Linked DNA regions of Caenorhabditis elegans. The protein of the gene in region 1 interacts with the protein of each later gene in a pairwise test. Each region holds a gene or a part of one and is shown in the gene's direction. Other genes may lie near its edges.

Region 1 (4,601 bases):
TGGAAAAAAATAAAGTAAAAATAACACACGTGAAACGAGTGTTACCGTACTCCTCTGTCCCACCGGGACATGAGAGCAATGTCTGCGTCTCTGACTGGTTTTACACTGCGGAGCGGCTGCGTCACGGTCTTCAGACGCGCGGTTTGCTTCGCTTGCAAGTCGTCTCGTGTGATTTTCGAAAACATTAATGCTGGTGTCCGCCACGACGGCACTCCGGAGAATTCATATACTCATTTTCTGTTTCTTTTTTGTGGCACAAACTTCTAACAAACATTTTAGGTGAATTTGGCGAAAAAGAATATGGGAGTAAAATTAAATGATCCGACTGGGCGAAAGCTTATGTAAAAGCCAGAAAAACGTGTGCAATCCCTTGAAAATTAATTGCAGAGAAGGTGAAGAGAATTTGAAGAAATTATACTCTGAAATATTCTGAAAATTGGAGGTATTTGATAAATATTCAAAGCTCAATAAAGCTGGTAATCGCTCGGAAAAATGAACGTTGGAAATTTAATCTAGTGTCAAATTCGATTGTTTCGAAAAAATTTGCTAATTTTAGGTGAATTAGTCTAGCTATTTCCAGTTTTTGTTAAATTTGCCACGCTACGTTCAATTTCTTTAGATATTATTTTCCTTGTAACGCGCCTAGCCCAAAACGTGTTTCGTAACGAAATTCGTATTCGTAAGCCCATTTCCCTTGATCGATATTCAATGTTAGAGTGTGTAAACTGAAGAGACGCTGCCGATTAGTAGAGTTGTTTGCGCTGAGAGAGAGAAATGACGGGGGCCTCTCTTTCCACTCTTCCCTTCTCCCTCGTGGTCGATTTTGACGGGTTGCGATAGTCACTTGAGCGAATAGCAGCAGTATGACAACGCGCTTGCTGTATACATTCTTTCTGTGGTTTTCGTCATCATCAATCCTTTTTCTAACATACAAGAATAGTTTCCAAATGGTAACAAAAAGTTAAGCATAATTGGAGAAAAAATGACGAAAAATTGGTTAATTGAATTTTAACGAGTTTGAAAGATCAACATTGATCTGAAATAGTTCGAAGAATTTAAAAGCAACTGAAAAACTGAAGTTATTGATATGAAAAGACGGTTTGTTTGAGTTCCAGATTTGAGCATTCTAGACTGAAATTCCAACGTTCAAGATTCCAAGAAGCTATACATTTTTATGTTTTAAAGCTTTTCGAAATAGTTGATTTTTAATTCGAGAAAAAATTCATCCCAAAACTCTGTTCAAATTTCCTACATTATGGGCGGAGTCTGCGCGACCAATGGGCGCTCATGCCGTTTCTATCGTAGACAACATGAGAATGCTCCTCCCACTGCAACTGTGACTTGAAAATTGAGAGAACGAACTGAAATATGTAAATAATCACAAAGATCCGGAAAAGGGAATCACGGAGGAAAACATGAATTTTCATTATCTTTTTATTTCTTTTCTTGCTTTTTATTAGAGCTTGAGAAGTGAACACCGCTTTAACTTTTTATTATGAAAATCCGTAAAACCGGGTATAAATCCAATCATTACAATTATTCTAGATCATGACGGACATCATATCTCAAAATGAAAATAAAGACGATTTCGAAGATGGTGAACTTCCTGAGGACGGTGAAATATGTGATGATGAAGATGAATCTGTAAAAGCAGTGCCCTCCAAATCATCAGAATCAGCTCCAGGTGCTCATATTGCTCCAGCACATCCTGAGAAAACAAGTGGTCGGGATTCACGAGAACGAGTCAGGCGGTTTGAAGGGAATAGTCCTCCGAGAGAGCGAGATCCGGATCCGTTTGGATCTCACAATGATGCTCCGGATGGAAATGGTAAATGTTTCTCTGAATTTTTTGAAAGTCTAACGTCTGATTTGTGAATTAAATTTATCCGATCCGATAATTATCCCGGCAACTGTTTATTCTACGAAATTTAGAGTGTAACCTCTCTTGTTTTTTATTGACGCATTAATAAATGGGAATAATTTTCGAGTGCTGAAAAGGAGAAATTTAATAATTTTCAGATTATTTCGGTGGAGATAAAGACTATCGTAGCGGAGCAGCAGCTTCGTCAGAAGAAGAACCATTCAGTGATACTGATTATCGTGTAAATCGGCGGAGACGCTTATCCCCTTCCCACGACGACGGAGACTTTGACCCGAGATCAAAACGGCCATACTATGGAGGACGAGGAGGATTCCGGGGTGGCTTCCGGAATGGAGCGAAGCCAAGATTTCAAACAGAACATCAGATCTGCAAGTTTTTCCGAGAAGGTTATTGTAGAGACGGTGACAATTGTTTGTACTCTCACCAAGCCGAAGATTCACTGAGACGGCCTGTTCTGTGCAACTTTTATGCTAATAGTTTTTGTAAAAAGGTTAGTTTCAGAAAAAAAAACCAACTTTTCATTTTAAAATACTAATTCTTGTTCAGGGTCTACAATGTCTTATGCTCCATGGAGAATTCCCATGCAAATCCTTCCACAAAGGACAATGCAACCATGATCCATGTAGATTTTCTCACGTTCCCCTGACGGACTATACCCGACCAATCATTGAGAAGATTCTAGCAGACGAAGAAGCCCGGCAGGCTCATCAAGCGCAGCAGGCTCAAACATACAGACAGAATCCAGTGGCAAATGCTGCTGCTGCCGCTGCAGCTGCACAAGTAATGCCAAGAAGGAGAGTTCTCCTCCCTGGAGGTAAGCAGAAAATCGAAATCACTTTTCCATAATAATTATTCAAAAATGTTCAGGCCCTAATATGAATGGTTCATCTCCACCCCACGCAACGCCTGTGATACATGCTCCGATCCCTCAAGCATCTCATCCAAGTCAACTTCCACCACCAGCAGTTGTTGTGCCAACCATTCAACGAAACCCTGGACCAGGAATTCCAATACATCAGCAATACCCTGTTGCTCCAGCAGCTGGAGGATATTTCAATCAAGGGCCACGGCCCGAACAAGTTCAAGGACTTCCACCGCCACGAACAATTGAGCCACCTAGGCTGAGTACTCAAACTCCTCCTATAATGCATCAACAGCAACCACAACTAATGAGGCCTATGCATCCAGTTCCAATTCAACATCCACATCTTCAGCAGCCTGGATTAGTTCAGCCACCGCAAATAGTCTCTCAAGAACGACATACTGCATCACCACAAGGATTCAATTTAGAGGTAAGAATATTGAGAAAGCTTTCATTTAACAATATTTATTTTTCAGGCAATGCTTAACAAGATGGCCAATGGCGAAAAGCTCATATCAAGTCCTCGGAACAACGTGGTCGACGATTCTCCAGCCTCGCCTCCTCCGTCCAACTATTCCAGCATGTTTGGATCATCGAATCGTGTAGCAGTCATACCACAAACAGTGCAAGTCACTTGGGGACTAGTTCGTGTTCAAAGGCGACTTCCGTACTCAAATGTTGAGAACCCTGATCGTATAGCTGCCAATGATCCAAGAAGAGCCAAAGCAATCGCCAAACAGTTTGATGCTTTCAGCTCATTGCTGGGCGCTGGAGGGAATGCCGTATCAGATCCAAGACTTCGGGCACAGAAAGAGAAAAATGATCGTCAACAAAATACAATGCCATTTTCCTCGTGGATGCCTCAAATATCTTAATTTTTATTGTAATTATTCAATGTCTACTGAAAACATTAGTTTATCTTTTAAACAAAACAATTACAAGTTTAGATTCATGTGAGTGTATCACATTTTTCAATCTTTCAATTGATCTGGTCTCTTCATATTGCCTGTTAATGTTTAGTTCTTTCTTAAAGTTTTCATTTATGATTTTGTGAAAAATTTGCAAAACCTTTCCTGTCTTCAACGAGTTTATCTGGACATTTGAGGCTTTTCAAAAAAATTTTCCACTCACAGACGATACTGGTACGATCCCTGTTCCAATCCACTCCCCGAACTGCTGGCATTTTATTTTTAATCAGTTATCAAGTTCCACAAATGATGCTCACTTTTCTGATATGTGTAAAATTGTGTTTCAACCATTTATACTGATGTTTTCTTCACTTCTTTTTAACTTGTATAAGATGAGAACATATTTTGAATGAAGAATGATTTATTAAAACTTGGACTTGTTATTATATTTGAAAAAAATCATCAATTGTAGCCGGAAATGTCAAAAAGAGAGGGTGTTCCTTTCCACTGCACAGATACCTCATTCTGCGCCTCTTCGTCTCACACGCACTCTCGTTTAGCGGCACACACAAAACTTAGTTGACGGCGGAACCTGAAGAGTGTCGGCCGCGCCGTTTTGTTGCCTCAGCACACTTTCACCCTTTCTCCAGTCTTCAGTATGGGTCAATCTCTGATCTGCAACTGAATATGATGAGTTCGGGCGATGATCTTCTGTGATTACATCGCACGGCGAGGTGGGAACGCAATACCCGCCTGCCAGCCCGATTCTGAACCAAGTTGCCTAGAAATATTTTGGAAACATAAGACTCTTTTAGAGTTATTTATATGAATTACATCTTGTTGTGTTCAATTTGATGTGTTTGTTCATTAAAGCTTAACGAACAACATCGTTGACATAAAATACACGATTTCTAAACATATACGAAGTACATGAGGTAAAAACGTAATC
Region 2 (3,338 bases), on another chromosome or scaffold:
CTCAGTTCTTATTTTACCAAAAATTAAATATTAATTTTCACTGAACTCCTTATTCCAGATGCCAGCTTTCACCTGGGCTTCCGGTGACAATGGAAAATGCTCCAACTGCCCAGCAAATGCTCCAGCCTGCTACCAAGGGCTCTGCTACATGCCAAAGAACTACGAGGCTCCGACTACAACAACGGAATCCACCACAACATCTACAACAACTGAGGAACCAACGACAACTTGTGAGCCCGATGAACCAGAAGCTGAGGGAGCTGACAATAATCAAGAAGAAGAAGAAGAAAACAACGACGGGTTCCGAATGAGAGTTTAAGCTTCTTTCATGGTACCCTACCTTCTCCCACATTTAATACCGGATGAACTACTTGGATTGCTTACCGAACGGGTGTGCATACCGCTGCATTTATTTATTCATTTATATATATAGGTGTATGTGTATGTATTGGTGATATACCGAGATTTCTACGAATTGATGATATTCAATAAAAACTACAGTACAATTCTATCGTTTTTATCAACGTTTTTATCAGCGTTATTATCAACATTTTCAGGTCCATACACCATTTTGAGCCTACAAGCCTATCCGCCTATCTCACTCCCTCGTGCCTACCTGTGTTTGCCTTCGCGCCTTCCTTGTTAACCCCTATTTTCGTGAATGTTAGCTGTCTCAAATTGAACTTCATTCGTGCCTAAATAATAATAATAAAAATCTGGAAAAAAATAATTTAAAAAGTCGAAAAGTTTAACATTTACGTGTAAAACTTTCCAAAAATCAATTTCAAACTCAAAGAAATTCATTTCTGAAAGCCGTGAGAAAATGGGATGCTGCGGTTCAAAAAACAAGCAGAATAGTAGGAATTCAAATCGAAATGGACAACAAATGGTAGGTACTGTAGGATTACGCTCTGCAGAACCAAGTTTCGATTGGTTTACTGTAGTGGTACGGTAGCGGGTTTCATAGGTTTATTGCAAGATTACGGTAGCTCATCGTTGTAATTACAGTGTTACTGTAGTAATACTGTACTTGTACGCTTAAGCTTGCATCAGCTTTCGCTGCGAACTCTTTTGAAACCAAAGTACTACGTGTTGTTAGGGGTACGGTTGGCGCAGGTTTATTACCTGGTTACTGTAGAGTCACTATAGTTTTGCACACCTTTTACAATCTCGACAGCATTCATTTTTAGAGATTCCTCGTCTCAAAAACTATATTTTCAGAATCAAACCGGAACCCAATCAGGCCCCTATCCTGCCCAGAATCAACCTCAGAATAGGAATCAACCTCCACCTCCACCTCGACAGCAGCAGCAGCAACAAGCTCCACCTCCCAATGGACAGAAGCCTCCACAACCTCAACGTCAACAACCGTCTCCAGGTCTCCCGTACCAGCCACAACCGCCTCCTGCGTATGGGGCTCAACAGCCATACTATCCACCGCAACAGCAAGTCGTAGTGGCTGCTCCTCCGCCAGTGGTCATTGTGGATCCTTATCCATGTTATGGAGGTGGAATGTACTACGGTGATCCATTCTATTGTGATCCGTTTATGTTTTAATCGAGATGTCAAATGAAAAGTAAGAAGAAGATGAAGTGACTTGAAAATATTTCCGATAAGAAATAATTGATAATTGATCCTTTTTTTGCAATAAAAATAGTCTGAGATTGTTTTCTAAAAATTAGTTAATCGGTCCGAAACTGGCAAATTGATCCACCAAAATTTATCCACGGGAAGTGTCGACTGCTGGCATTAGAAAAAGGAAAGTGTCGGCCGCTTCCATTTCTGCGTGAACGCCTTGCAGTTATTTTTTTGGAAATGATTTATTTTTCAAATGTTCAAACTTGCCGCTAAAAAATTTTATTCCCAACTTACTTTATAATCAAAAGAACTCAAATATATCGATGAAAAATGGGATGCTGTCAATCGAAGAAAGCTAGAAATAATCAACGGAACAACCAACGCTCGGACCAAATGGTAAGTCTCCAAGTTTCATATGAGGTGACCGTGCCTGCCTATAATCCCTGTTCCGGGTTCCATAAAAAAAACTGAATAGACACAAGGCAGACGAAGGTCGCCTTGAAGTCAAGCTCAAGAACTCCTCCTTGTACCTCAACTTTTCAGAATCGTCAGCACACTCAACCATCTCCAAACGCCTCGACAGAGCAAATGGTAGGGAAAATCGATAATTTTCCGAAAATCAATAAAAGAAAATATCGATTTTTCAGGCATACCCTCGACAGCAGCCTCAAGGGATCCCACAGGGACCTCCACCGGCCTACGCACCTCCAGCAGCACCGAAAGCTCCTGAGAAAGTCGTGGAGCCCAAAAATAGGAGAGTAACGATTGCAGAACCACCGGAGAGAGTTGCGGAGCCATCACCAACGCCTGAAGATCCAGAGCTTTTTACTTGCATCGACCAAACGGAGAAAGAGGTTGAAAAGGAAGTGGAGAAGAGAAAGTCTGCTCCGCGAGCCCCAGTCCCGGCACCTACACCAGCTCCTCAGGCAGCTCCCCAGGCAACTCCGGCTGCACCTGCTCAAGCTTACCCTCAACAACAACAAGCTGCTCCCGTGGTCTATGGATCCCAACCAATGGTCATGGGTGCTGCTCCGGTGGCTCCAGTTGTCATGGCTCCGCCGCCAGTGATCATGAGCCCTTATCCATATTATGGAGGTGGTGTTATGTTCGACCCATATTATAATGGATTTTATGGAGGATATGGATACGGAGGTTTTGATTTCGGGTATGGAGGATATGGTGGTTATGGATGCGGATTCTATTGACTTTTTTGAACTCTTTTGTGTTTTTTTGGAATAAATTTTTTAATTGAACACTTAAAAATCAACAGAACAAGATGAACAATCAACAACATAAAAATGGATATTATAACAAAAAAAACAATTAATAAATTCGCTTCGAAGCCCTCGTGATCGTAGAAAGGAACTTCTTGTATCGGGTTCTCTCAACAACTGGAAGATTCGTGGCGAGCAACGCGGATGCATTTTTATCGGCCAGTGAATGTAGTTTTGACATGGCAAGTAGACTGTCTGATCCATAGAATACTGCGTCTCCAATGATTGATGCAGTCAGCTGAAGAATAAAAATTTAGACCGTTTTTGAGAATAATTGAAGGTTTTTTTAAAATTTCAATTTAGTCGTTTTTCTTGGTAACTTTTACCAAAACATACTCAACAAGCTCCCCCTAATTTCGAAAATTAATAAGTTGACAGAATTTTTAAAAAAAATCGAGTTCGAGAAGAAATAGTGATTATTACAGATTATTTAAAATTAAAATGTCTATTTTCTTCTTTAAAAAAAAGGGAAATTTCTCAAGAAAT
Region 3 (4,780 bases), on another chromosome or scaffold:
AATGGAGAAAACATATATTTGAACTTTGCAAAAAAATATTATTTATCTAACCAAAAGTAAACTACCGTATTTCTTCTATTAATATGGCTGCAATACTATTTTTCGATGGTCTTCCCGCTTGCAATACTAATAGGGAGTGCAAGACTATTAGGGAGTGCAATACTAATTTTCAGAACATTTTTCTGACTTTGAGCTTACTATTTTTTTCTGAAAAAAACTCGTATCTTATGTAAAAATTCAGAAAATTTGATTGCAATTGCAACAAAAAGGTACAATAACTTCAATTCCATAGAAATTTTACCAAAAATTTGTTGCAAAGTAGGCAAAAAATGTTGTAAAAATCTCAAAATTCAAAGGTGCAATACTAATAGGGAGTGCAAGTCTAATAGGGAGGCCATATTAATAGAAGAAATACGGTATTCTGAATTCCGCTCGTTAGTATCTTTTTATTGAAAGTTTTCAAAAGAGATTTATAATTTTCAAATAAAAATTCTAAGAATTTTACAATTCTTTCAAGTTATCAAGTTTTTGGATGTAGAACTACGTTTGCACTATATTTTCCAGAGATTCATACCGAAAAAGTTCTAAAAGTCAATTTCCGTTAGGAAACCTCACCTCAATTTCCTCCCACCCATTATTATTCAAGATGAGCACTCCCACCCGTGAGCCACCACAAAAACACATTATTTGGCAGTTTCTAATCCCCTACAAATCCCCCTTGAAAATGATTTTGATCTGATTTTGAGCTTTTCGCAGAAATAATTGGAAATGTTTGAGAAAATGGATGGAAACTGCATATTATCAGTGATATTTAGTTGTTAATTCATGCTTATTTAGTTGCCTGTTTCATAGAAAATTGGTGATAAAGTTGTCATACGGTAGGAAGTAGGACATGATTGGAAAAACTAGATTACTGTAATTCGAAGAGTCATTTTAAATTTAATTTTTTGAACTCTATAAGCTACTAATTTTGCCTAGGTTCAACAAATTTTGGGTCCCACCGCGAAGACTGGAGTTCAGTTTGAAATGTTAATTTTCATGTTTCAATGCACTTTTAAGCTATAATAAACGAGAGATTCCGTTACAAGACCCACAGTTGTAAAATTGACGTTATGTAACTTACAATTAGACGAGAAGATACATAAAAGTGGAAATACCGAATTTTTTTTTGAATTACTCGCAATAGAATTTTTATTTTTATTGCAAGAATACGCAAGAAACACCCGCAAATTGAATTATAACGGGCTTTAACTTCCTCCCTTCTTGCTTCCTCCACGTTTTCTTTGAACCTCTGCTTCACCTCAGATTTCTTTGTTTACATTTATTTGGTATCTCTTATCTCTGCATAGATAAAAGCTTGGAAATTCTTTTAATTTTTAAATACCTTCTTCTTTTTCTTATTCGAACTATTATACCTTTTCAAAAAATAGGCCTATTATGTATTTATATTCATTTTTATGTTTTTTATTGCGAAATTTCGTCTCGTTTTTTGGTTCTCAAAAGGCGGGGCTTAGCATTGAATGGGGGAGAAGGACATTCGTGGGCGGAGACTCTAAAGCAGCTGAAGCTTACCCACTGCTCCATTTTCATGCAAACTCTGCTCTTTTTTGGTAGTACTACTTCTTGAATCCTATTTTTTTAAATTCTCATCCTCTGCTTTTTCTGTGCTTCCAACAAAAACCAAATTTTCAGGTGTAAATGTCAACCGAAAACGACGTTTCAGAAGAGAATAATTCAGAGCTTGACGATGTTGAAGACGCAAAACAAGATGATCGGCGACGATCGACTACGGTAATAATGACAATGAATGTGACGACGGTGCCAGCTACAGAAAGTGAGGGAGTTCGGAGGAATGGAAGTGTTCGAAGACGACTTTCAAAACAGAATGCAACAATTGAAGAGGTGAGCAATTTCAAGGGAAGGTGGGAAATTGTCCCGCGAAGTGTCGGACTTCGAATATGGGTGCCGTTGCTGATGTAGTTCTTGTCCCGTATGGTGTATGCTGCTAAGGTACACAACTTCTTGAAGCCGGCTAAAAGTTATCACTAACCCGTAAAATGTCGGCTGCTTGGAGAATACATTATTTTATTATCATATTGATCAGCTCACTCTCTTGTGAATCATCAGAGGATGATCCGATTTTGTGTCATAGGCCGCGCTGAAAACTGAAATAGTTCCTGTTAGGAAGTCTGCTGAAATTCATATTTTTCACCCAATTTCGAAGAATGTTTGTAAGTTTATAGACAAAATCTGGTCGTTTTCGACTGAAATTTTTTAATTTTTAGCCAATATCTCTCCTGTCAATTTCTGATAGCCCATCAGAAAACTCGGATACTACGGTCCCATGCATAGAAGAGCATCCAGAAGAAGGCAAAGAAGAGGAGAAGCCAGCAGAAAGCAGTGACGTGTCAAAACTCCGCCCACCGGGTCTCGCACAGAATAAACTGTGGTCCACATCGAAATCGTTAAGCAGAGAGTCCACAGGAACCGAGTACTCGGACAGAAGTGGCATTGATCTAAGGAATTTTGTGGATCGCACGTTACACAAGAGTGAAGAAGATCGGAAGCAGCTTCTGGAGTTCGAAAAACAACTCAAAGAACTTATTTTAGATGATAGGTTCGTTTTTGTTAAAATTTCAGTCTGAAATTGATAATTTTCAGCACACAATCGAAAAGATTCGAGCTTCCATCATCCTATCACCGAATGCTTCTTCACAGGTGTGCCGCGTGGTTTGGTCTTGATCATAATGTTACGAATAAGCAGACCGATATTGTTGTGAACAAGTCAGAGAAAACCAAAATGTGAGTTGATTAATTTTCGGATGTATGTATCATGAAAATCATAATATTTTGTCTGTTTTAGTTTAGCCCCTTTATTTGGTCTTGTCAGATTTTAACTAGAAAAGTAACAAATTTCCAGTCCTGATGACAACTTCACCGACTACATCCGGCACGATAATTACGTAGAAGACCGACTGAAACGACAAAACACTTGCGGATCCCGCAAGGAACTTCACCATATGGAATCATTCGGTGATCATTCGACGAGTCAATATGGAAGTCAAGCAAGTCTTAATCATGATCTACTCATGATGCGAAGGGCACAATCATTTGACGTGGCAGCAGTCACTGGACCATCAGTTATTCAACCTCAATCTCCACATCATGTTCGAGGTCTTCCGATGCGACAACTTTCACTCAACTGCCCACAACAATCAATGGTTACTGCACCAATGAGTGGACCACAGGGACATCAATGGGCACCGCAAAGATCATTTGATTGCTCCAATAATAGTTATTTGTGCACTGGAAAACATCCAATGATGAGGGTGAGTATCAGAGTTCGCCTGAAAAATCGATTTTTCAAAAAAGAAACAGCGTCGAGTTTTACTTTCTCACGATCGCTAAGCTACAAGATTTTGAATCAATATATGATTGAGATTGAACGTGTGGCCGTCAATATCTGTGAGCTTCAGCCATGTCGATTTACGAGTATCTCTCATACATTTCATAAGTTTCCATAAGTTTCCGAGTTTCGAAAAATTTAAGATCACATGCCGTGGGCGCAAAAAACGCTTCTCAAACTCTAACCTCTAAATTTTCCAGAAAGCAGAGAGCTTCGGAGGAATGGCAAACGGAATATCACATGGCTGTTACGAGCAAAGTGTGCCAGTAGTTTGTGGAACACCTCCATCAGTGATGGTTCATCACCACCACCACCACGCTCACATCCAACAACCTCCAACCTCCAACTATACAGGCTATCAGGTATTCGAAGAAATGTCAATGCCATCATCAAACTACCAAGAGCCTGGAATGTGCTCCCCGGGAGGAACCTACTATGAGTATGTACCTCAACCAGTAGTTCAACCACAACAGTACGCTCGTCCAATTCGGTACATGCCACAAGATTACCGAAGACCTCAAGGAGTTCAGTATATGTATGGACCACCACCACCACAACAATATATGCAATACCAGCCAATGGTTCATCCGGAAGTTGAAGTTATTGTAGATCCAGTTCAAACTCAACCCTTTCCACAAGTCAGTCACTTTGTACTGCCTGATCAACAACAGGGATACTCATCAAGCCATCAAGCAGAGACAGCAAATAGTTTTATAAAGGTAAGGTTGAAGATGAGGAAATGAATTGATGGTTGTTGAAAATAGAACAACGATTTAGGCAAGCATTGATGGTGGATATGGAAGCATGAATCAAGACGTCGAGAATGCTGAAAAGGTCGAGGAGGTCTAAACCTTTCCCCCCCCCCCCCCCCCCCCCTCCCGTTGTCTCTTTAAATGGTATTTCTTCTTTCTAGCCATCCCCTTGTAGATTGTGATAAAACCCCACGAAAAGACGATATCGCCAAACATCTGGATAATTACGATTATATGAACATGATTCGAAGTACGGATTTTCAATTTTTTCTAGTCAACTTGTAGATTTCTTTCTCTCTCTCAATCCTTGTCATCTTTTTTTTTCTTTCGCTCTTTTGATATCGAATAAATTGATTTTCAATGCCGCTAAATAACCGCTAAACTCAATCATAAGACTTTGACATGCATTTTTAAAGGAGCAAGCATTTATTCAGAAGTGTCTTGGCACGAGAAAAGGTTCATGGTAAATAGCCATTGTTTAAATTTTTCGGCTGCCTCCAAGTTTACTTTCCTTAATTCCTTGCATTCTTCATTGAAATTACCTCGTCTTTAGAAAATTTTATGTTTTGTTTTCATTTTTCCGTTTAAAATGCTTTATTACGGGAACAAACAATTCTGAGAA
Region 4 (8,037 bases), on another chromosome or scaffold:
CTGCTGAAAATGGTGCTGAAACTGATGGTGTTGCTTCAGCTTCAGATCCTCCTCCTACTGCTGCTCCTGGAGCTCCACCGCGACGCCGAAAACGCAACTTTTTCTCGTGTATCTTTCGTTCTCGTACCGATAGTGCTTAGAAGATTCTGTGTTAAATGCTGAAAATTTGAGGAAATTTGGCTGAAAATGAGCTGAAAATCATTTTGGTCTGCTACAGATTTGTGTAGTTTGTAGTCTGGCCACCTAGCCTCAAATTTATGAAATTTTGACATTTTTAGCGAAAAAATAGTGATGGTCTGCTAAATATTTTTGTAGTTTGTAGTCTAGCAGACCCAAATCAAGCGTATGGGTCTGCCAGACTACAAACTACACTTTTCGACTGAATTTCACGATTTTTAAGAGATTTTTAAGAGATTTTCTTAGTTTGTTTCCTGTGAAAATTTACGAATTTTTATCGAATTTTCCTGAAAAATACGATTTTTTTTTCGTTTAAAAGTTCGAGTTTTTACACTCAAAAAATCAACAAAAAAAACGCCGATTTCTCAGTTTTCGCAAATTTTTGCTCAATATCCCTTGAAAAATACGAAAATTGGCTTAAAAACGTGTAGTTTGTAGTCTAGCAGACCCATACGCGGCGATTTGGGTCTGCTAGACTACAAACTACACAAAAATATTTCGCAGACCCATCATTTTTTCGGCAAAATTTAGCTTTTTTGCGTTTTTAACCGGAAATGTGTGCGGATTTTCGGCATTTTTTCGGATAAAAAACTCAAATTTTTCACAAAAAATTCGATTTTTTGGGTTTTTTCCCGAATTTCAAAGTGTTTTCTGGTAAAAAAATCGATTTTCCACTCCATTTTTCCCCATTTTTCCTCGAGTTTTCAGCATATTTTATTGATTGCTCAAGCTTCTTTGTCTTTTCTAACCGATTAACACTGTTTGTGTGTAGTAAACGTGCTCTATCGCCACCTTTTCTCAGGTTTTTTTTCTTAAAATTTTAATTTATTCACAAAAGTCCCTTCTTCACCTGTTCATGTATACAACCTGTGTGTCTATTACTTAATTCTTCTTTAAACATTATGATTATGATTATTGTAGCAACAAAAAAAAACTTAATTTTCCGGCAGTTTCTCGATTTTTTTTCGGTTTTTTTTCGTTAGAAACCCCCCAAATTCGTCATATCTTTATTTTTTTGCTCTTTTTTCTTCGAAAATTTAACTATTTATTGATTTTTTTTTCCTCCGCCATCGTGCTTTAGACACCGACACACCATATATATATATTTTATAAAAATTTCTGCTGAAAATTTCTGAATTTTCATATATTTTTTCACAATTTTTTTTTGGTTTCAACTCCAGAAATATTTGTACTTTTTTTTTTCTGTTTTTCGTCTTTGTTTTTTGTAGTTTATAGTATCCTGATATAGACTACAAACTACAATACCTTTCTTTTTCTGTAGTTTGTGACTTGGTCTGGCAGACTACAAACTACGATATTTCGCGAAAAATTGCGTTATTTTTTTTTTAAATTAAAATCTCAAAAACTGCTCATAATGATATTGCGAATTTGATTTTTTTTTCTACAAAGAAAAACCAATTTTTGTGTAGTTTGTAGTCTAGCAGACCCAATATCAAAAGAATTTTTTTAATACAAAAAAATAGAAAAATTAGAAAAAGAATTCGTTTTTAAATCACGTTTCCTTTAAAAAATCTAACGAAAATCACTCAAATTTTGGAAATATTTACCCGATGGGTCTGCCAGCGTTTTTTGTAGTTTGTAGTCTAGTAGACCCAAACTCCAAATTTTTTGATTTTTGGCCTTTCGAAGCGTTTTTTTTTTGATATTTTTTTCTTAAAAAAGGCAAATAATCACTTTAAATTATGCAAAAAACACGTTTTTTAACTGATTTTTTCTCCAAAATTCTTAAAAAACCGTTTTTTTTTTCCGAAATTTTTCTTGCCAGTCAAAGAAAATCAACGAAATTTAACGCTTTTTTTTTGCAGAAAAAAAATGGGTGAACCAAGACGTTACGGGTTCCAACAGCCGCCGCCGCCGCCAAATTGTTGTGAAGATGGTGGTGGAATAGAAGATGGACTAATTCGAGATTCTGGACTAAATCGGGCCGGATCTGGATCCGGTGGAAGGCCTGTCAGCTCGACTTCTAATGAAAGCTGGAGAAATGTTCCATGGGGACCACCGGGCAGACAGGTCATTAGTTTTGTTCGAGAGGACTTCAAAAAAATTGTAGTTTGTAGTCTGGCAGACCCATTTTCTGAATTTGGGTCTGCTAGACTACAAACTACACGTTTAATCCACGTGTTTCTTTTTTGAAAATTTATAACAAAAATTTTGACGTTTTTAAACGAAAAAATCGTATTTTTCGTTAAAATTCCATAAAAATTCGCTAATTTTCACAAAAAAATCGTAGTTTGTAGTTTGGCAGACCCAAATCGAGCGTACTACAAACTACACTTTTTACTGTACAAAAATATACATTTTTAGGCTATTTCCTCAGTTTTTTTGTTGTAAAAATTGGCTAATTTTTATGGAATTTTCCTTAAAAATACGATTTTTTTTTCGTTTAAAAGATCAATTAAATCGTGGATTTTATTTAACTTTTGAATTCCAGAATTTCAGTGAAAAATTCAATTTTAGCATAAAAACCCGGAATTTCGGCGTAATCTCTCAAATTTTCGATTGGTCTGCTAGCGTTTTTTGTAGTTTGTAGTCTAGCAGACCAAATTTCTGAGAGTAGGTCTGCTAGACTACAAACTACAAAACGTATTTGGCAGACCCATATTTTTTTCGACTGAATGTTGCGTTTTCATGTGAAAAAAATAAAAAAGATTTAGAGGGAAAAAACTCGGTTTCGTACAGAAAATTAATAAAAAATGGGGATTTTTCGTTTTTTCAGACGGTTTTTCGGCGAAAATTGTGATTTTACTCATATTTCTCTGTAAAAATCGATTTTTCAGTCAATGTTCGTGAATTTTCATATTCAAATTGCGAGAAAATTCAAAATTTGGATTTTTCCAGCGAGAAAAAATCAGGAAAACTGCCCAAAATCACAGCGAAATTGACGATTTTTACCTAGTTTTATGGTCTGCCAGACTACAAACTACACAAAATGTATTTAGCAGACCCAAAAAAAAAAATTTCGCGATTTTTTTTTTAATTTTTTCTTGTATTTTTGACCAATTAGCATTAAAATTCGCTAATTTTTCCCCCCAATTCCGAAAAAAAAATTGATTTTTCTCAAAATTTCCCAATTTCCTCCCCCGCTAATGGCCATCTGCTCTCCGAATAACACACTTGGCACGCTGCCAAGTGTCTACCAACAAATCCCATCGATTTTCGCGGTTGGTGAGGGACGAAAAATCCAATTTCCATGAAATTTCTGCCGTTTTTTTTCTAGATTTTCCATGAAAAAATCGGATTTCAATGCCAAATATCCGGAATTTTTGCCATTTTTATTTCAGATTTTGCAGATATTTCACCCTAAAACTATCCGGAATTTTAATATCGGAAACCATTAAAACAATTCTTTTTACAGGGTCCCGCTGTTCACCAACATCATCAAATGGTTCAAGTACATACACGTCGGCTCGGCGGAGCAGCACCAACAATGCACCATAGTAGGCCACCGCCGCCGCCTTTGGACCGACGCCCGATGTCACCTCAAAACGCCTCAAGACCGCTTCCCGTCCGTGGTACAAATTATTCAACGAATGGAGATTGGCCTGATCAACGTCCGACGATTATTCAACAATCGTCAAGAATTAATTCGTTTCCGAATAGACCTGTAGCTAATAATAGTTATCACAATGAGAATATACCATTTAAGGATATTATTCTGGAGGTACTTGGAAATTTGAAAATTTTTAAGCGGCGCGTCGCGGTTGCGTCGCGTTTTTTTTTTTTGAATTTTTGAAAAGGGTAATATGGGTTTTGAATTGAACACACTGTTGAATTGGAGCAGTTCACGCAATTAATAATTGCCGGATTTGGAAATTTTCGGCAAATTTGATAATTGCCGGTTTTGGAAATTTTCGGCAAATTCGATAATTGCCGGTTTTGTAAATTTTCGGCAAATTTGATAATTGCCGGTTTTGTAAATTTTCGGCAAATTCGATAATTGCCGGTTTTGGAAATTTTCGGCAAATTTGATAATTGCCGGTTTTGTAAATTTTCGGCAAATTCGATAATTGCCGGTTTTGGAAATTTTCGGCAAATTTGAAAATTGCCGGTTTTGGAAATTTTCGGCAAATTTGATAATTGCCGGTTTTGGAAATTTCCGCCAAATGTGACAATTGCAAAAAATTGAATTTTTCATGAAAATTCGCTAATTTTCACACGAAACATTGAGAAAATTGGCGAAATTCAGTATGATTCAAAAAATTTAAAATTGTGTAGTTTGTAGTCTAGCAGACCCAAATCAAACAAACGGGTCTGCCAGACTACAAACTATACATTTTCGACAGAATGTTAGTGTTTTTAATGATTTTTTTGCGGGAAATATCTCAAAATTTGCATTTTCTCGGAATTTGAATGTGAAAATTCACCAAAATTGACTCAAGCAATCAATTTTCACACAGAAAATATTGAAATTCGGTAGAATAAAACCCCATTTTTCGCCGAAAACCCCGTCTGAAAATCCAGAAATCCACATTTTCTATCGATTTTCTGTGGGAAACTGAGTTTTTTTTTCCCAAAAATCTGCTAATTTTCACTTGAAAATGCAAAATTTTGACGAAAAAAAGATATGTAGTTTGTAGTCTAGGTTACAAACTACAGTGTTTTGAAAAAAAAAAAAAACTGGAAAATTCAGTAAAAACTGGTTAGTTGGCAGACCCAATGGGTCTGCTTGCTGGACTACAAACTACAAAAATATTTAGCAGACCAAAATGGTTTTTTGCTATTTTTTCGCCAAAAATGCCGAATTTTCTATTGAAAAAACACAGACTCTAAACTACAAAACTGTTTTTTCGCCAGTTTTTACTAGTTTTTCAGCAAAAAATGACTTGAAATTACCGATTTGGGGGGATTTTTTTCGGAAATTCACCCAAATAAACCCGATTTTTTGCAGTTACACGAGCACACTGTCCCATTCATCGATTCACATTGCCACGTTGATTTCATGTACAACCAAATGGTTCATAATAATCCGAATTCATCACTCAGTCATGGCCTATCGCATTGGATTCATCGATATCCATATGGATTTCCGAAATCTTTTTATGGAGTCATTGCGAATTTCATTAAACCTTCGCTTTTTGTTGTGAATGATGGTGGTGGTGGAAATGGATATGATATAGATTGGATTATAAATGAAATTGAATCGAATATCTACTTGGGAACCACTTGGGGATGTCATCCACATTATGCACAAGAGTATGTGTCACTTCTTGGTGTAGTTTGTAGTCTGGCAGACCCAATTTTTTTAAAACGTTTTAGTGAAAGAAGTTGAAGTGAAAATTAAAAATTTTTTTTTTTTGAAAATTGAAAAAAAAAACATAATTTTTCGGCTATTCTTTTTGGAAAAAAATAATAAAAATCGAATTTAATACATTTTTCAATTTTTTTTTGCAAAGAAAATTTGCAAGTTTAACCTTTTTTTATTAAAAATGTACAGAAAATGCACCTTGAAATTAAAAAAAAATCAATTTTTTCCTCCTAAATTGATATTTCTCACTGAATTGTTTGGCTTTCAGGGGAATGTTCTAAAATAGTCAAAAAATCACTTTAAATAATGAAAAAAAACACATAATTTTTGGAACTGATTTTTCCACCAAAATTTTGAAAAAAAAAATCCTTTTTCCCCAAAAATTAAAAATTTTTTGCACTTTTTCCCAATTTTCTTTAAAAAAAACGGGAAAATTTCTCCAAAACTCGTTAAAAACCCAAATTTTCGAAATATCCGATGGGTCTGCTACCGTTTTTTTGTAGTTTGTAGCCTAGCAGACCGATCTACAGAATTTAAAAATTCGACAAAAGATAATATCAGATTGCTTTGGCGAGGATTTTTATTTTATACACACTGATTATTTAAAAATTGAACAAAAAAGTTGTAGTTTGTAGTTTGTAGGCCTGCTAGACTACAAACTACAATTTTCTGTCGAAAATGTTCTATGACGTATGCCAAACTACAAACTACACATGCTTTTGTAGTTTGTAGTCTATCATCAAATAATTACAGATGGGCTTCAAAAGACATCTTCTGGCAGACGCTTGAGCACATTTTATCGAATGCAGCCACGTGGAAGGTGTTGGCCGTCGGAGAGTGTGGACTAGATTTACACCGTTGTATATCGGATCTAGAAGTACAGAAAATGGTATTTGAGAAGCATATCGATTTGGCATACAAGTATCAATTACCATTAGTCATTCACTGCAGAAGTGGACAAAAAGGACGTGCAGAAGAACAATGCCTGCGTATTTTGAAGAAGGTAGCCGCGGAAAATTCGCAAAAAATGGTGGAAAAATCGTGTTTTTTGGAGAAAATTGACGTATGGGTCTGCTAATGAATTTTTGTAGTTTGTAGTCTAGCAGACCAAAAATCATCAATTTTCAGCGAATTGTTCGATTTCTGCTGTCTCGAAGCGATTTTTTTTTGAATGTTTCCCATTAAAAAAGTGTTTAAACGAGTTTTCCTCCAAAATTTTGTGAAAATTTGAAATTTTTGCCGATTTTGGGTATGGTCTGCTAAATATTTTTGTAGTTTGTAGTCTGGCAGACCAATATTCTCGGATTTTTTTTGGAAATTGAAAAAATATTTTTTGAAAAGTTTTTGAAGTTTTTATGAATCCGATTTTTGATGATTTAAATCGATTTTTTTGCAAAAAAAAATCTAAAAAGTGTAGTTTGTAGTCTAGCAGACCAAAATATTTCCAAGCAACGTTGAAAATTTGCAAAAAAAATTGACTTGGGTCTGCTAATTAAGATTATGTAGTTTGTAGTCTAGAATGTTAATTTTATATAACTTTTCTGAAATTTCTGATTTAGAAATCAGAAAATTGCCGAAAAACCGCAGAGCTTACTTTTTTCTCAAATTTCTTAGACAAAAAACCTAAAAATATGGGTCTGCTAGAGTTTTTTTGTAGTTTGTAGTCTGGCAGACCCAAATTCATTTCTGAGATTTTTTTGTGCCCAAAAATTGAGACATTTTCGAAATAATTTTAAAAACAAATTTTGGAAATAGGAATTTAATTGAAAAATCCGATTTTTGAAAATTAAATAGATATTTTGCAATTGGGTCTGCTAAAAAAGTGTAGTTTGTAGTCTGGCAGACCCAAAATTTGCAACAAAAAAAACTGAAAAACTACATTTTTCGAGAAACTACAAGGACATTTCTCTCATTTTTGAAGACTACAAACTACATAATGTTCTTTCTTTGTTTTCATTGTGTAGTTTGTAGTCTTAAATTTTTTTCAAAAATCAAAATTACCCCGGAAATTTCAATTTTTGCTGCAAAAAAAAATTCAGAAATTTAAATTATTGTGTCTGCTAAAAAGGTGTAGTTTGTAGTCTGGCAGACCCAAATATTTCCAGTTTTTTTTCCATATAAGTATCTAAATAATTTCAGAAAATGGACGAAAATCATAAATTCCTGAAAATCCACCGTCATTGCTTCACAGAGACTTGGGAAGTGGCACAAATGTGGATGAAACAGTGTCCGAACGTCTATTTTGGTGAGGAAACCCGAAAAAATGCAACAAAATTGATTGAAAAAGTGTGTAGTTTGTAGTCTAGCAGACCTAAAACCGATGTTTTGGTAAATTTCGATTTTTAACATTTTTCTCATAGAAATCAATTGCAAAAAACCGAAAAATCCAATTAAATTGGTCTGCCAGTGATTTTTTGTAGTTTGTAGTCTAGCAGACCCAAACTCCATTTTTCGCTATTTTTTTCAATTCTAGTGTTTCTAGTGTGTTTTTTGTAATTTTTTGATGAAATAGCGTTAAAATTTGCTAGTTTTCCCCACAATTTTGTGAAAAATTCTATTTTTTCTACCAAATTTTTTAAAATTTCCAAACCAAA

Evidence for each region.
Region 2: the proteins of T26A8.4 (region 1) and R02F2.5 interact in a two-hybrid assay, tested with the Caenorhabditis elegans proteins (one large-scale study listed by BioGRID).
Region 3: the proteins of T26A8.4 (region 1) and ZK121.2 interact in a two-hybrid assay, tested with the Caenorhabditis elegans proteins (one large-scale study listed by BioGRID).
Region 4: the proteins of T26A8.4 (region 1) and Y37H2A.1 interact in a two-hybrid assay, tested with the Caenorhabditis elegans proteins (one large-scale study listed by BioGRID).

What each region holds. Positions count from the first base shown.
Region 1 is NC_003282.8:8,428,438-8,433,038, reverse strand, and holds T26A8.4 (C3H1-type domain-containing protein), read left to right. Parts: upstream 1-1,545; 5' UTR 1,546-1,548; coding exon 1,549-1,828; intron 1,829-2,019; coding exon 2,020-2,372; intron 2,373-2,428; coding exon 2,429-2,696; intron 2,697-2,749; coding exon 2,750-3,174; intron 3,175-3,220; coding exon 3,221-3,619; 3' UTR 3,620-4,078; downstream 4,079-4,601. Other genes in the region: tmem-231 (Transmembrane protein 231), read right to left, coding at 4,527-4,601.
Region 2 is NC_003281.10:5,477,496-5,480,833, forward strand, and holds R02F2.5 (Prion-like-(Q/N-rich)-domain-bearing protein), read left to right. Parts: upstream 1-1,822; 5' UTR 1,823-1,908; coding exon 1,909-1,974; intron 1,975-2,121; coding exon 2,122-2,169; intron 2,170-2,225; coding exon 2,226-2,783; 3' UTR 2,784-2,833; downstream 2,834-3,338. Other genes in the region: Protein lon-1, read left to right, coding at 59-319; R02F2.10 (Prion-like-(Q/N-rich)-domain-bearing protein), read left to right, coding at 824-889, 1,222-1,557; R02F2.6 (uncharacterized protein), read right to left, coding at 1,187-1,429; R02F2.7 (Myb-binding protein 1A-like protein), read right to left, coding at 2,902-3,090.
Region 3 is NC_003281.10:5,339,992-5,344,771, forward strand, and holds ZK121.2 (R3H domain-containing protein), read left to right. Parts: upstream 1-1,690; 5' UTR 1,691-1,698; coding exon 1,699-1,902; intron 1,903-2,285; coding exon 2,286-2,617; intron 2,618-2,661; coding exon 2,662-2,802; intron 2,803-2,920; coding exon 2,921-3,329; intron 3,330-3,606; coding exon 3,607-4,125; intron 4,126-4,183; coding exon 4,184-4,255; 3' UTR 4,256-4,268; downstream 4,269-4,780.
Region 4 is NC_003283.11:18,106,266-18,114,302, forward strand, and holds the start of Y37H2A.1 (Deoxyribonuclease TATDN2), read left to right. Parts: upstream 1-2,003; 5' UTR 2,004-2,010; coding exon 2,011-2,208; intron 2,209-2,716; exon of another isoform or gene 2,717-2,777; intron 2,778-3,553; coding exon 3,554-3,859; intron 3,860-5,086; coding exon 5,087-5,391; intron 5,392-6,196; coding exon 6,197-6,446; intron 6,447-7,582; coding exon 7,583-7,688; intron 7,689-8,037. Other genes in the region: Serine/threonine-protein kinase par-4, read left to right, coding at 1-140.